Arabidopsis thaliana: one gene and its partners. The protein of the gene in region 2 interacts with the protein of the main gene of each other region in a pairwise test. Each region holds a gene or a part of one and is shown on either strand. Other genes may lie near its edges.

The links. Proteins that work in one complex are often made in the same cells at the same time.
Region 1: the proteins of MYB15 (region 2) and IAA19 interact in binary tests that used the Arabidopsis thaliana proteins (3 or more experiments, as listed by UniProt).
Region 3: the proteins of MYB15 (region 2) and PAP1 interact in binary tests that used the Arabidopsis thaliana proteins (3 or more experiments, as listed by UniProt).

Annotation. Positions count from the first base shown.
Region 1 is NC_003074.8:5,262,201-5,266,211, forward strand, and holds IAA19 (indole-3-acetic acid inducible 19), read left to right. Parts: upstream 1-1,800; 5' UTR 1,801-1,899; coding exon 1,900-2,308; intron 2,309-2,901; coding exon 2,902-2,995; intron 2,996-3,087; coding exon 3,088-3,178; 3' UTR 3,179-3,495; downstream 3,496-4,011. UniProt on the Arabidopsis thaliana protein: Aux/IAA proteins are short-lived transcriptional factors that function as repressors of early auxin response genes at low auxin concentrations.
Region 2 is NC_003074.8:8,307,290-8,311,432, reverse strand, and holds MYB15 (myb domain protein 15), read right to left. Parts: upstream 2,225-4,143; 5' UTR 1,942-2,224; coding exon 1,809-1,941; exon of another isoform or gene 1,730-1,808; coding exon 1,600-1,729; intron 1,404-1,599; coding exon 809-1,403; 3' UTR 523-808; downstream 1-522. UniProt on the Arabidopsis thaliana protein: Transcription factor involved in cold-regulation of CBF genes and in the development of freezing tolerance. May be part of a complex network of transcription factors controlling the expression of CBF genes and other genes in response to cold stress.
Region 3 is NC_003074.8:5,611,687-5,616,459, forward strand, and holds PAP1 (phytochrome-associated protein 1), read right to left. Parts: upstream 3,118-4,773; 5' UTR 2,523-3,117; coding exon 2,230-2,522; intron 2,019-2,229; coding exon 1,738-2,018; intron 1,646-1,737; coding exon 1,513-1,645; intron 1,294-1,512; coding exon 1,226-1,293; coding exon of another isoform or gene 1,200-1,225; exon of another isoform or gene 1,150-1,199; coding exon 1,115-1,149; 3' UTR 517-1,114; downstream 1-516. UniProt on the Arabidopsis thaliana protein: Aux/IAA proteins are short-lived transcriptional factors that function as repressors of early auxin response genes at low auxin concentrations.

The DNA.
Region 1 (4,011 bases), 3.0 Mb from region 2:
TAGCCTTATATTATTGCTGTCAGGAAATAATTCTATTTAGACTACCTGAATTTCCAGTTGAACGGCGTTTTTCCAAATTGCAAGCATCATATATTATGCTCATCGTATCATTAGTGCATAAATAAACTATGGACCAATTTCATGGTGAAAAAGGGGCTTCGGATGAAATTTTTGATCAAATTATATTTGTTTATTGATAAAACAAACGTTTTTTTTAAAGGATGACAGTTGTGCGTTTGAGATGAAAACCAAACACTGCTCCCACTCAAAATTTGTAAAAATGGAATTTATAAATATTTGGTGCTACAAATGTCGTTTGGTAGCCTTTGGAAACATTAAAGGTAAACTAGAGATATGGGAGTATGGAACTTAATCTCTTTATGTGGTTGTATTTCATATAATTTCACGTGGCCCAACTTGTTTCTGTCAATCCATTGATCAAAGTTGGTAGACAAGAGTGAACCCACACACACTCACACACATACACACGGTCGATCTTTTTTTCTATTCTCGTGTCCCTACGTCCTCTAAACCCCATCATTATACTTCTTGTGTTTTATTGGTATGCTGAGCTAGAGATAGTTAACAACTACCCAACAATGCGGGTCTGGCTTAGTTTGAACCTATTCGAAACTAGTTATACTCCGCTTGAAGTCATTGGTTCGAGACTAACTTTGGAGATGAGTATCATAAACAGCTCTAACTTAAGATTACAATACATCCTCTTGTTAGTCTAAGTTGAGAGGTGTTGCCATTGACTATATATTTCTTTGGGAATTTGGTTTACCAGGATGTTGCAAAGAAGATTTAAATAGTTATAAATTAGTACAAATTCAATCCATATGATATGATATTCAAAAAACAAAAAAAAAAAAAAACTGATCTAAAAGTCGAACCAAATTCTAATTTGATTAGAGCATGTATATAATTGAATCCCTAAGTAAAATTCAACCCAATACTTGAGAAGGTAGTTATATTCTTATAAATTATGGATATGATTTGATTAAAACTCAAACCTGAACCCAAAACATACTAGAATATACGTTTTTACTTTGTAACTATTTGTCACATTCCAAAACTAAACTCGGTACTATATTTGATTCTGATCCATACAAATTTTGTATATCTGGTTTATATTCTCCATGTGAGATTAAAGCGGTGACCAATCAAAATCATTGCTGGAATATCTTACTATTAAGCTAAATGTTGTTAGTTATATACAAGCCAATCCAAAAAAACTGATGCAAAGAGAGATAAACGAACATATCCCAAAATGGTAGGATTTGATTTAATATTCCCATCCTCTTATTAGAAATGCAAACAAATAGACTATAGTTTTATTTATTTATTTTCACTATAAAATAACTAAATAACATGAACTTATTGAAGAAAAAGTATACTATAGTTGTGATTCTGTGATATACTAGTTAGAACAAGAATCTTTACAAAAAAAAAACACATGGGATGTTAGGAGAAGGAGATTCGGATTCCAATGATCCAACGGTCAGAGAAAAATCAGAAGAAAATTTCACAACCGTAGGATCTGTTCCCTTAACCACCTTGTAATGCCGGTCTTTATTAATTTTGAGAAAAAAATAAAAACAGCACCAAACTTATGTCTCTCATGTGACCGACCACCGCATCCTCAGTTGACCTGTCTCTGCCCCCACTTTGTCTCCCCACACAAACTGAATAACAAGAAGAAGAAGACTTTAGATATCAAATGACTCCACGTGTCGATATTGGATTGGTTTTCATTGGTTGTATCGTGTGGACCAACGAAGCAACATATAAAAAGCACGACGCGGTGCCATTACTACAATAAGAGAAGTGTAGGAGAAGAAAGTTCTCATTTCATAATTGTATCAAATTGTGAGAGGAAAAAAAGAAGTTCAAGAAATGGAGAAGGAAGGACTCGGGCTTGAGATAACGGAGCTGAGATTGGGGCTTCCGGGGAGAGATGTGGCAGAGAAGATGATGAAGAAGAGAGCTTTCACGGAGATGAATATGACGTCGTCGGGTAGTAATAGTGATCAATGTGAAAGCGGCGTCGTTTCATCTGGTGGTGACGCTGAGAAGGTTAATGATTCGCCGGCGGCGAAAAGCCAGGTGGTGGGGTGGCCACCGGTTTGTTCTTACCGGAAGAAAAACAGCTGTAAGGAAGCTTCGACCACGAAAGTGGGGTTAGGGTATGTGAAAGTGAGCATGGATGGTGTGCCTTATTTGAGGAAGATGGATCTTGGTTCGAGCCAAGGCTATGATGATCTAGCCTTTGCTCTTGATAAGCTCTTCGGTTTCCGTGGCATCGGTTAGTAACAATTATGTTCTCTTCCCATAAAAGTAGAGTGGTAATTAGATCATGTGGAAAACAACTAATTATATATAGTTTACAAGACGTCCGATTAAGAACTTAGAGTGTTGTAGTCTTGTAGACGTAATGGAGTAGTATAGTTTAGTGCTGTTCTTTCTTTTTATGTCTACAACCAAACCAACACCCCAATTTATGATACAATGACAACACTAATACAAATATAGTTAGAATTTTGGTTAGCAGTTGAACTGATTGTGGTAGCAATGTTATAGATTTTAATTTAAAGTGTTATGAAAGGACAAATATGTCGAGATTTTTATTAGTCATCTCAGGAAATTTATTTACTTGTTCTTAGAGACTTAAGACTAGTCCTAATTTAACTGGTTATTTTTCTCCAAACTGTTTTGAATTATCTGAAAATTATCTATCATAGAAAATTAGAGGTTTCGGTTACTACATATCCGTAATTTCTAAAAATCAGAATTTATGCACCACTTGTATAGTTGTATTGTTAATTAGACTTTTCTATATACCGAATTCGCCATATTATCAACACAATTTTAAATTTACATATATACATATTTGTGCAGGTGTGGCCTTGAAAGATGGTGACAACTGCGAATACGTTACCATATACGAAGACAAAGATGGAGACTGGATGCTCGCCGGTGATGTACCTTGGGGGTATGTTCTATCTTTTGACTTAAGATATCTCACTACAAAAAGAAAATGTATCACAAACTAAAGTAAATGAGTTTGGATATTTTGATTTGCAGGATGTTTCTAGAGTCATGCAAGAGGTTGAGAATAATGAAAAGATCGGATGCTACCGGGTTTGGGCTGCAGCCTAGAGGAGTAGACGAGTGATGATGACTTGAACAAGAAGCAAGGAGCTGGTTCATTAATTTAATCTTAAACTTGATCATCAAGATCCTTTAGAACATTTTTCCTATTCATGTTATATAAATATATATGTTATAGTATATTATTTTGCAACAAAATTTCATGTTATGGTTTTGCATAATTATCTTCAGAAAGACAGCTATATATATATACACTACTTGTTTCTTGAGTGTTGAGTTAAAACATTAATCTGTTTCAAAATTTATTGTTATTTCGGATCTATATATGTGTGTAGAAACATATGTAATAAGTATCCATTATTTCATCTTTTTAAAAAATAATAATTATTATTTGAATCTTTCATTGTTGATATGTTATGTATACCTGTGTTTTGGAAAAAATATGGATATTATAAGCAAATCTAAATAGATATTTATAAAAAAAGTCTACGTAAAACATTCGTTAGTTTTTACTTCTACTTCAGTAAGTGACATCACAAATCTAAATAGATGTTTTCATAAGTATATAAGTGTAAGATAAAAACAAAGAATTCATTCTTCCTTTTTTTTCTCTTAGAGTTATGCTTGTATAATTTATTAGTACTATAAGATTTTTACTAGTAAGTTTTTATTCCAAATATTCGTATACCTCCGAAGAAATTAGTTAATTCATAATCGTAATTTCACATTCAAAGTTAAGATTGCTTAATTTAAAGATTTAAGCTTATTCTTCATTTTTTTTTTTTTTTTTGTAATGATTCTTTTTATAGATATGCACATCTTGCTTTTGATAGCATAAGTACTATCAATTATAGAAAACACCGACATGTTCGGTATGTCAACCTAGTTTTTGTTTTT
Region 2 (4,143 bases):
TCTCAAATAAAGGGCACAATTTTTTCTTTTCTTTTCTTTTAAGCTACCTTAATTATGTTATGAATTAGATATTCAAAAATTACAATACAAAGCAGTGTCTAAATTTTTAAAAATAATTAGATTATTATTATCTCGATTTTGTTTTTGGTGGGCTATTATCTTAAAGGACAACATCTAGTTTAAGAGTAATCAATAGTTTTCCTTACCAAAAAAAACGTAATCAATAGTTTTATATGTTTTGTATAATTATAATTTAAATATTTTTTGTCATCAATATGGGGCTTAAATTTGGATGATGACGCATAGACGTCGTTAACACATAAACTACAAATGTTTAGAGATTTGAGATTTTAATTAAAAATGTTTATGATCATTAAGCTCCTTTTTCTCAAGTTATTTATTATAAAACTACGTAACTTTACCTTTTCCGCCATAGTTGAACTTTCAAAACCTCATTAGAAAATGATTATAACAGTGAATTAATCTAGTACTTATATTATTTTAATTGCTGTTGTTGTTATAGTGGCATCCAATGTTTGTTGGATAATTATTTCATCAACAAGGCAATATTAATATACGTAGACTCTTTGATTACTTGTCATTGATTATTAATTACTCGTACAAGCTAAACTACTCAATTTTGGAGAAACAAATGAATTCAATTTTTTGAAAACGCAGCCTCTAATTAATACACTAACTACATCACATCAAGAGTTAGAGTGTGTTTTTTTCTCGGTAAACAAAAGCTTTTGAATTTCTTAGCCTTAACTAATTTGCACCATTTCACTTTACTCCTCAAACATGTTAACTAGAGCCCGGCTAAGAGATCTTGTTCCCCGCCGGTTCTAGCCAATACATCGAACCAGAAGTCCATCTCACTGTCAAAAATCATCTCATTATTAGCGGAGCCCAAGTTTTGAAACTCTTGTTGTATCTCAACTAAACCAGCCACTTCTAGGTCATTCGATACGTAGTTGTGTTCATCTTGGCTATACAGTGTCTCTTTCCAGAAGCTTTCATCGATATCCGCACCAAAAGTTTCGAAAGAAACACATTCTTGATCGATAGTACTGATATCTCCCGGTTTGTTATCCATATTAATCTCGTTGCTATAGCCGTCGTGGCTTATGAGTGTCATCGAAGAAACCTCACTTGTCGAAGGCGATGTCGAAAATAAGCTTTCTCCAGAAGGGTTTGATGAATCTGCTAGCTCCGATTCGCTTCTAGTACTGTTCGAGCTCGTTATTACGGATTCAGATTTTGGTTTAGTACCCTTCTTTTTGTTGCTGGTCTTAGGTTTAGCTGGTTGATAATCTTCGAGTCTCTTCTTCAAGTGAGTGTGCCATACGTTCTTGATCTCGTTATCGGTTCTTCCAGGCAGTTTTGCTGCAATCGCTGACCATCTAAAGATGATACCAAAAGGAAAACGAAGAACATCAATACAAAAGTAATTAAAGAGCCGATCATTGTGTAGTTAAAAGAATAGTAGTGCGACCTAGACGTGTGTATAAAGTTACTTTCTTTTGGTGATTTATATATAGTAAGAAAACAAAATAAAACTTGTGTGTCGGTTATATACTTATATGTGAAGTAAAATACCTATTGCCAAGTATTTGGTGTAAGCTGATGATAGCATCTTCCTCTTCTTTGGTGAAATTGCCACGTTTAATATCAGGCTTTAAATAGTTCATCCACCTAAGTCTACAGCTTTTTCCACATCTCAAAAGACCTGTAAATAATAATTACCAATAATTAATGTAAGAAATTTGATCAAAATTAAGAAATTTGATATTATAATTTTTACATACCAGCTTGCTTAGGGAGGGCTCGCCAGTTACTATGTCCATGGTTGAGGATAAAAGAGACCAAGATTTGATCTTCTTCAGGTGTCCATGGTCCTCTCTTCAACCCCATCTTCTCACAGCATGGAGCTCTTCCCATCTCTTTGATTTGTGATTGCTGATAAAAGAAGTTGAAATGTTTTTCTTGTGGTGATGATCAAGATATAATGTGGAGATCAAATTCCTATGAGCTTGAGATCAAATGCTGTTGATGAACATGAGAATGACTGACTAAGGGGTTTGAGTATTTATACTAAAATTGTCAAAAGACATGTGGGAGAATTCAAAAGCATTGGTGAGCTTCTTGGAAAATAGGATGTGAGAGAGAGAGAGAGAGATGTCTTTTTGATTATTGGCAACATAGTCAAAAGTATGTTTTACATAATATTATATCTCATGTGGGAATGAATGATATATATGTTTTAGGGACCGGAGAAAATATTATTATAATAATCGGTCTGCATGTATATATAAATGTGTGTATACAGTGTGATGTTGAAATATGTGGTGTAGTGTGTGATATAGTTTCGAGTAAACAAAGTCGTCGGGTAGACGCACGAAGGGCATTAAAATGAGCCCACACGTATATTTCTTAGAAAATAAACGTTTTAGAGATTGTAAACGACAAACAAAAATCAACGTTGGGTGGATTATGTGTTGACCCAAAAAATCACTATTCATATATCTGCTCGAAAAATTGTTTTACTTTTCTTAGTATTAAACTTAGACATCTTTAGTCTCGGTAGTAATCGTGTTTAGGTTAACAACATCCGTACGTTTTGTATTCTTTCTATTTCTAATTAAGTGTAATTTAAAGATTTTTTATTTTTTTTACTATAAGTGTTGTTTTCACTTTTCTATGCAAAATTAAATGTGTTTAATAGTTTTTAACCAATTATATTTTATATCATATTTTTTTATTGGTTGGATTAATTGTAATTAATAATATTTTTATAAGAAAGAGATAAATTAAATGAGATTTGTATGTTTTCTTAATTTGTGTGCAAAAATTTTAAACTACAAATATTCAAAAATAGAGGGAATAATATTTACTGCATTTACGTTTATTATGACGCCATTTTCAGTCTTTATTTTTAGACTGCTGAATGCCTTAAAACAATTTATTGGTCATAATTAATTGTTAACGTATCGAATAGAAAAAAAACTAACTTTTTCATAAATTATATAAATGATTTTGAGATTCATATAAAATAAATATGTGCTACATAGTTCAGTCAAAAATAATTTACTTCCATTTTATCAAACAATTCGATTAATATGTGTATTTGATACAATACTATAACTACCAAATATGTAACATATTCTAAAGTTTTTTTTTGATAAATAAATTATTCTAAAATTTCCTCACCATTTTATTTTACTTCAAAATCTGGTTATTACAAATTTGCAACTACTGTTTGGGCTTTGAGAAAACAATCCTCTACGAAAAATTACCAGTTTTATACTAGTATATATGCTTTAATATTATTATTACACCAGCCACAAAATCCAAAAATAGAACACGAAAAAATCAATATCTGTCCGCGGGAAAGAGAACAGCTCGTGATAGTATTTGTTGACCAACGCGTTCACACGTATCGCACCCTTTTAAGTTTCAACCTAAAACTTTACCCTTCTTCTGTATTTTGTTAGTATTTGTTAAAATAGAACTCTATTGTTCAAAGTTTCTGGTCAACAAAAGACTGAAAAGAGGCTTACCTACAGGTTTTAGTTTTACCATATAAATTTACACTAACAATTAAACCATCATTATATTTTATTAGAAAACAATAAATAATGTTTAATGAAGAATGATAATGATTAAATGATCATTTATTAAAAAATCTTTTTTGCGTTACTAGTGTTAAATAATTAAAGTACTGTAACATGAAGCATACTGACATATAAAATTTATGTACCCAGTTTATTGGGTCAGAAAGACAAATTATCAATTGCATCATGTTTGGGTTTAGTTAAGGTTTTGCTAGCCTAATAAATATAATATTTATATGTATTTCGTTGTAAACATAATCCACAGCTTAATGTGAAAATCACTTTCATCTCTATCTTTTTGTTTCTTTCTCAGATTTGATATGGTATGAAACCAAAACATCAATTATTTAATTTTGTTTAGTTTATTCAAATTCATCTTTTTTGCCTGAGTTTAGTATTCAACTTTTTATTTCGATTTTTGATTTTGCGATTCTATAAATCCATAATTTTTCTAAATTATGCAATTTTATATATGCAGATATATTAGCATCACCTAGCTTAACCATCTTTAATTATGAAAAAGTTTTTA
Region 3 (4,773 bases), 2.7 Mb from region 2:
AACTGACTTTAGTTAATATTGGTTTTTAATTTCTGTAATTTTTGGACCCTAAAACCTTAAAGAAAATTGAAAAAAAAATTGAGGACCCTGTGCTTTTGCTCCTCTAGCACTCCCCTAGAGCCGGCACTGGTGCGACATTTTGCAACAAATGAAACAACGGAATTTTCCAACTCATTATGTTGCGGCTATCGCTTTACATATGTTTCGAAAATGTTTCTTTTTTGGTTTGGTTAAAAGTTAAAACATATACCATTATTTAGCTACCAAAAAATGTTATTATCAAACTATTTGGCTGCATCAATTTCAATGGTTATATTGTTTAACCACAACACTCATCTGGTAATGAGAAGGACAACTTCGAATAAAATTTTTAAGATGAATACAAGTCGGCCAAGTGATGCTTGTGGTATGAATATATTTATCACGAAAACAATGTGCTAAATTAAACATATCTATAGTGATGTTTTAGTCGATCCACCAAGACACTGTCCAATAAGTTACAATGTGTATGTATGATTTAAAAAGTCAGGATAAAAAGCTGCTAAATTCTGCACCTAGAAGAACAAAAGAGATGATATAGCCACCAAAATTATCACGACATGGACTGATCTCATTCTGAAAAGTCTTTTTTGAGTTTTCAACTTCCAATCTTATCTTCTTATATACATGCATACTCAGGTTAAATAGTAAAAACAAGAAGAAAAAAAAAGACAACAACAAAAACAACAATAATGGCCTTTCATTCTCAGCTTTTTACATGATTAAAGGTATAGCCAAAGTTGGAAGGAACAAAAGTTAAAAGAGCTTTTACAGAGAATAAAAATTTCATCTTCTTTTTTCAAAAAGAGTTTTGCAGACATGCATGAGATAATTATTACAGTATGTTCTAATTATCTCCTTAATTAATTAAAATGCTTATAAACACAGATTGCTTATGTAATCTCATCGTCTAGTGTCTTGAAGACATGGGAATATCAGATCAGATCAAATGTTTCTCTGGACCAAAAAAAAAGTAAAAAACCAATGATTAACTCTTATATATAACAAAAACCAGATGTACATTTATAAAGCTTTGAGACTCTCTGTCTGAAATAAAAGTTTCTAAAAAGACTCTTCAGTGCATCATCTTCTCTTGCTTACTGCATCCAACTGCAAATATACAGAGGAACCCTTTTAATCATATAGCTCTAATAAATCATCTAAACATATAAGAACAGAAGCTTACATGTCAAGGCAGATGAAATCTCAGAGCTTTTAATCACACGCAGTCTCTTCACAGATGAAACAAACATTCTGTGTTTAAAAACAAAGATTAAAGATCAGTTAGTATGCAAAAAAAGAGGTATAAACAAATCTCCAAGCAAAATTCTATTCTTTAGGTAAAGAATTATCAATTTGAATTACTACTACTATTGATTAAAAGCTGAGAACTTTTGTTGTTATATGATCAAGAATCTAATTCTGCAAAACACTGAATCAGATTCAGAGAACAAAAGGGGAAAAGATTCTTACTGCCATGGAACATCCCCAACAAGCATCTTGTCCCCTTCATTGTCTTCATAGGTTAAAGTAAATTCTCCTTTCCCATCTAATAATCCAATGATAGGTTTCTCTTCTCCTTGACCATCAGAGATATCTCTTTGAGCTATAAACCAACAACATACACAAATCATACTCAGTAAACACAAGTAACACTCCTAAAGAACTAAAAAACAGAATTTGAGATTAAGATTTAACCTGCGAGTAGACCTCTGAAGAGTTTGTCAACGACAAAAGAGAGCTGTTCGTAGCTGTTGTAAGCATTGAGATCAACTTTACGACCAATAGGAACACCATCCATGTTGATCTTGACAAACATTCCTTCCTTCTTGGTTTCAACTTGTTTTTCACCATCATCACTCTTGTTGATTTGACCTCCATGAGAGGATTCGTTACCTAGCTTTGAAGAGCTTGTGCTCGCTAGATTCTTTCTGAACGAACGAACCGGAGGCCAACCCACCACTGGACCAGGAGCAGTTCTTTGAACCAGATATCAAAAGAAACAAGAGACATATGTCAATACCAAACGACAAAAACAGAGCAAAACAGAGTAAATGTTGAAACTTTTAACATGTGAAGGTAAAAAAAAAAACACAGATTGCAGAAGATGGGTCCCTAATGTTCAAGAGAATATCCTCTGTCAAAGCAGTAAGAAAAAATAACAGTGAAGGAAAAAAAAGGAGATTATACCTTTTCTGTGAGATGTGAGGAACAGAAGTGGTTTTGTTGGAAGGAGAGAAGTGATTGCCATTAAAACAGTGGAAAGATTTGTCTTCTGTTTCCTTCTTGATGTTTCTTATCTCTGTGTTCTTCTTCTTGATTGCTGAATGATCTTCTTCATCACCACCGGGTGGTCCAAGCCTTAGCTCAAGTTTCTTCTCCTGATCTGTGTTGTTCTTGTCTTCTTGGTACCATTTCCTTCCTTGTGGAATCAAATCAAGAAGTTTTGGACCGATTTCTCTGTTTCTTGGACAACCTTCCATTGATCAACCCAAGATTCCTTCTATACGTTAACTATGTATGAAATTGAAATCTATAGCTTCACTAAACCCTAAGAACCCCTTTTAAAGAAACAATCCCACAAAACTGAGAGCGAGAGAGAGAAAGAGAGATGTGTAATGAAGGTATGGTAAGAGAGCAGTGGTGGGATTTTATACAAAATCAAAGCTTTTTTTTTCTCTCTCTCGTGCACGCTTTGGTGGGTTCTCTCTCACACAGCCTTACCTTTTTTTCTTTCTCAATTTGTTGTTCTCTCTCTCTAAAGATTCTGAAAGGGACGAGAAGAGAAAAAATAGGAATACAAAGAAAAGGAAATTTGGATTTGTATGAACAAAAAAAAACTCAGAAAAAGGTAAAGCAAAGTAGAGTGACTCCACTTTTACTCCTAAACCCCAAAAGTAGAAATGAAAACTACAATAAATTTACAGATTGCATACCAAGAAAAACAGTAATTGTTCTTGACATGAAAAGAGAATACTGTGAAAAAAAAGAAGTGGGTTTTAACGTTTTTGGTTTTAGGAGTTCTTTTGTGGAGTAAAACACACGCAACCTTGTCTTTTTTTCTGCCTCAAATATCGCTAATTAAGGGTTTGTCTAGTAAAAGAAGCAAAGCGTGCTGTTCTGTTTCTCACAAGTATACGAATTAGAAAAATAATTAAATGCGTAATTCCAATAAACAACTTGACCATTAAAAAAATACTAATAAGAGTAATTAAAATATGATAACAATAAAGGAACTAAGGGAAGATCCCATAATTTATGGTCTGTTTTTAGGACCACTCTCTTATCCACTGTCCATAAGACACATATCCCTATGCTTTTCTAAAAACATTTTTCTATAGGTCGTCATGGTAATTTGATACTTTAATAGTAATACTACCATTCTACAAAGATATACATAAAGCAAATAATAAATGAACATCATGGGAAGATCAATTGAGAGAATTCAAGAAATGGGTGAGGCATTGTATAAACATACGAATCTGCATGGCGTCTCAGTGAGATATATGTAATTATTTATTTATAAATTTGCCACACAATATGTCAATTTGTTAGGTAGCTAAACAATTATTTTGTCAAAAGTTAAAAACAATGTGTACGTGTGGATTACGATGGTATAATTTAATTTGCTTCCCCAACCAAGTAAATAGTCAACTGTTTGTTTGTTTTTCCTAATCAAAAATTTTCTTTTCTCAAATCTACAAAATCAACATATTTTGATAAAAATAACAAAAGAAAAGACTTTAGCAGAAACAATTGTAGTTGGTCCTTTGATCTTAAAAAATGTACATAATTTTGCAGCGTAAATCAAGAACATATTTCAAGTTTTTCAACCAAAGATTGAAGCTATTTTATTTGGTTTTTCAGGAGGGGGAAAAGAATGTACATGTCTCTCCCACGTACGTGTGACACCGATATTACGATAAAGCCGACGTAGAAAAATCTCGAGTGAGAGTTCCGGTCAAGTAAGGAAGGGTAATTTAGGAAATTGAAGAAGGAGTGTGTCTCTAGTCATATCTTGTCGCCGTTTTACCCAACTCCGTGACTTTCTTCCCTCACTGTCAGACAAAACCTTAACCATGGTTAACATAACCTGAACCTCTCCGGTTTAACTTAACCGCACTAACTAGATCCGCACAGACAAACTAGACAGTGGACACATGTTGAAGTTGCACAAGATTTTGAGATCGTACGATAAGGTTTAAATTTGGGCTTTAATCAAAGCCGTAGAAGTGAATAGAGATATAGCAAATGTGACGGCTGTGATTAAAAGAGTACAAAGCAAAGCATCCGATTAAAAAAGTAGCCGACTCAGGAGAAAAGGAACAAAAAAACAACTCGTGAATTGAATGTCATATCAAGGGAAATAAAGAAAAGCAAGTGAGAATAGTGGTGGTGTCAATGATGCTCTTCCTAGAATTTTCACCAAGAAATAAAATTATTTTTATCCACTCACTAATTTTTTTAGTGAACTAAAAAAGGAGTATATGTAAGAAATTGATATCATTTTAACAAAATAAAAAGAGGAATAAAAGAAAAAATAATCCAAATATGGATAAGGTCTGAACTGATCCTCTAGTATAACTGGCCCATGAAAATCACGCTGAAAATGAGCCCAATTGTTGATCATCAATGTTCATGAACTTCATGCCTTTATGGAAAAATGGGTTGACTATTGAGTTTTGACTACTAATACTAGTAGTTTTGTGAATTTATCACATATATAATGCAAGT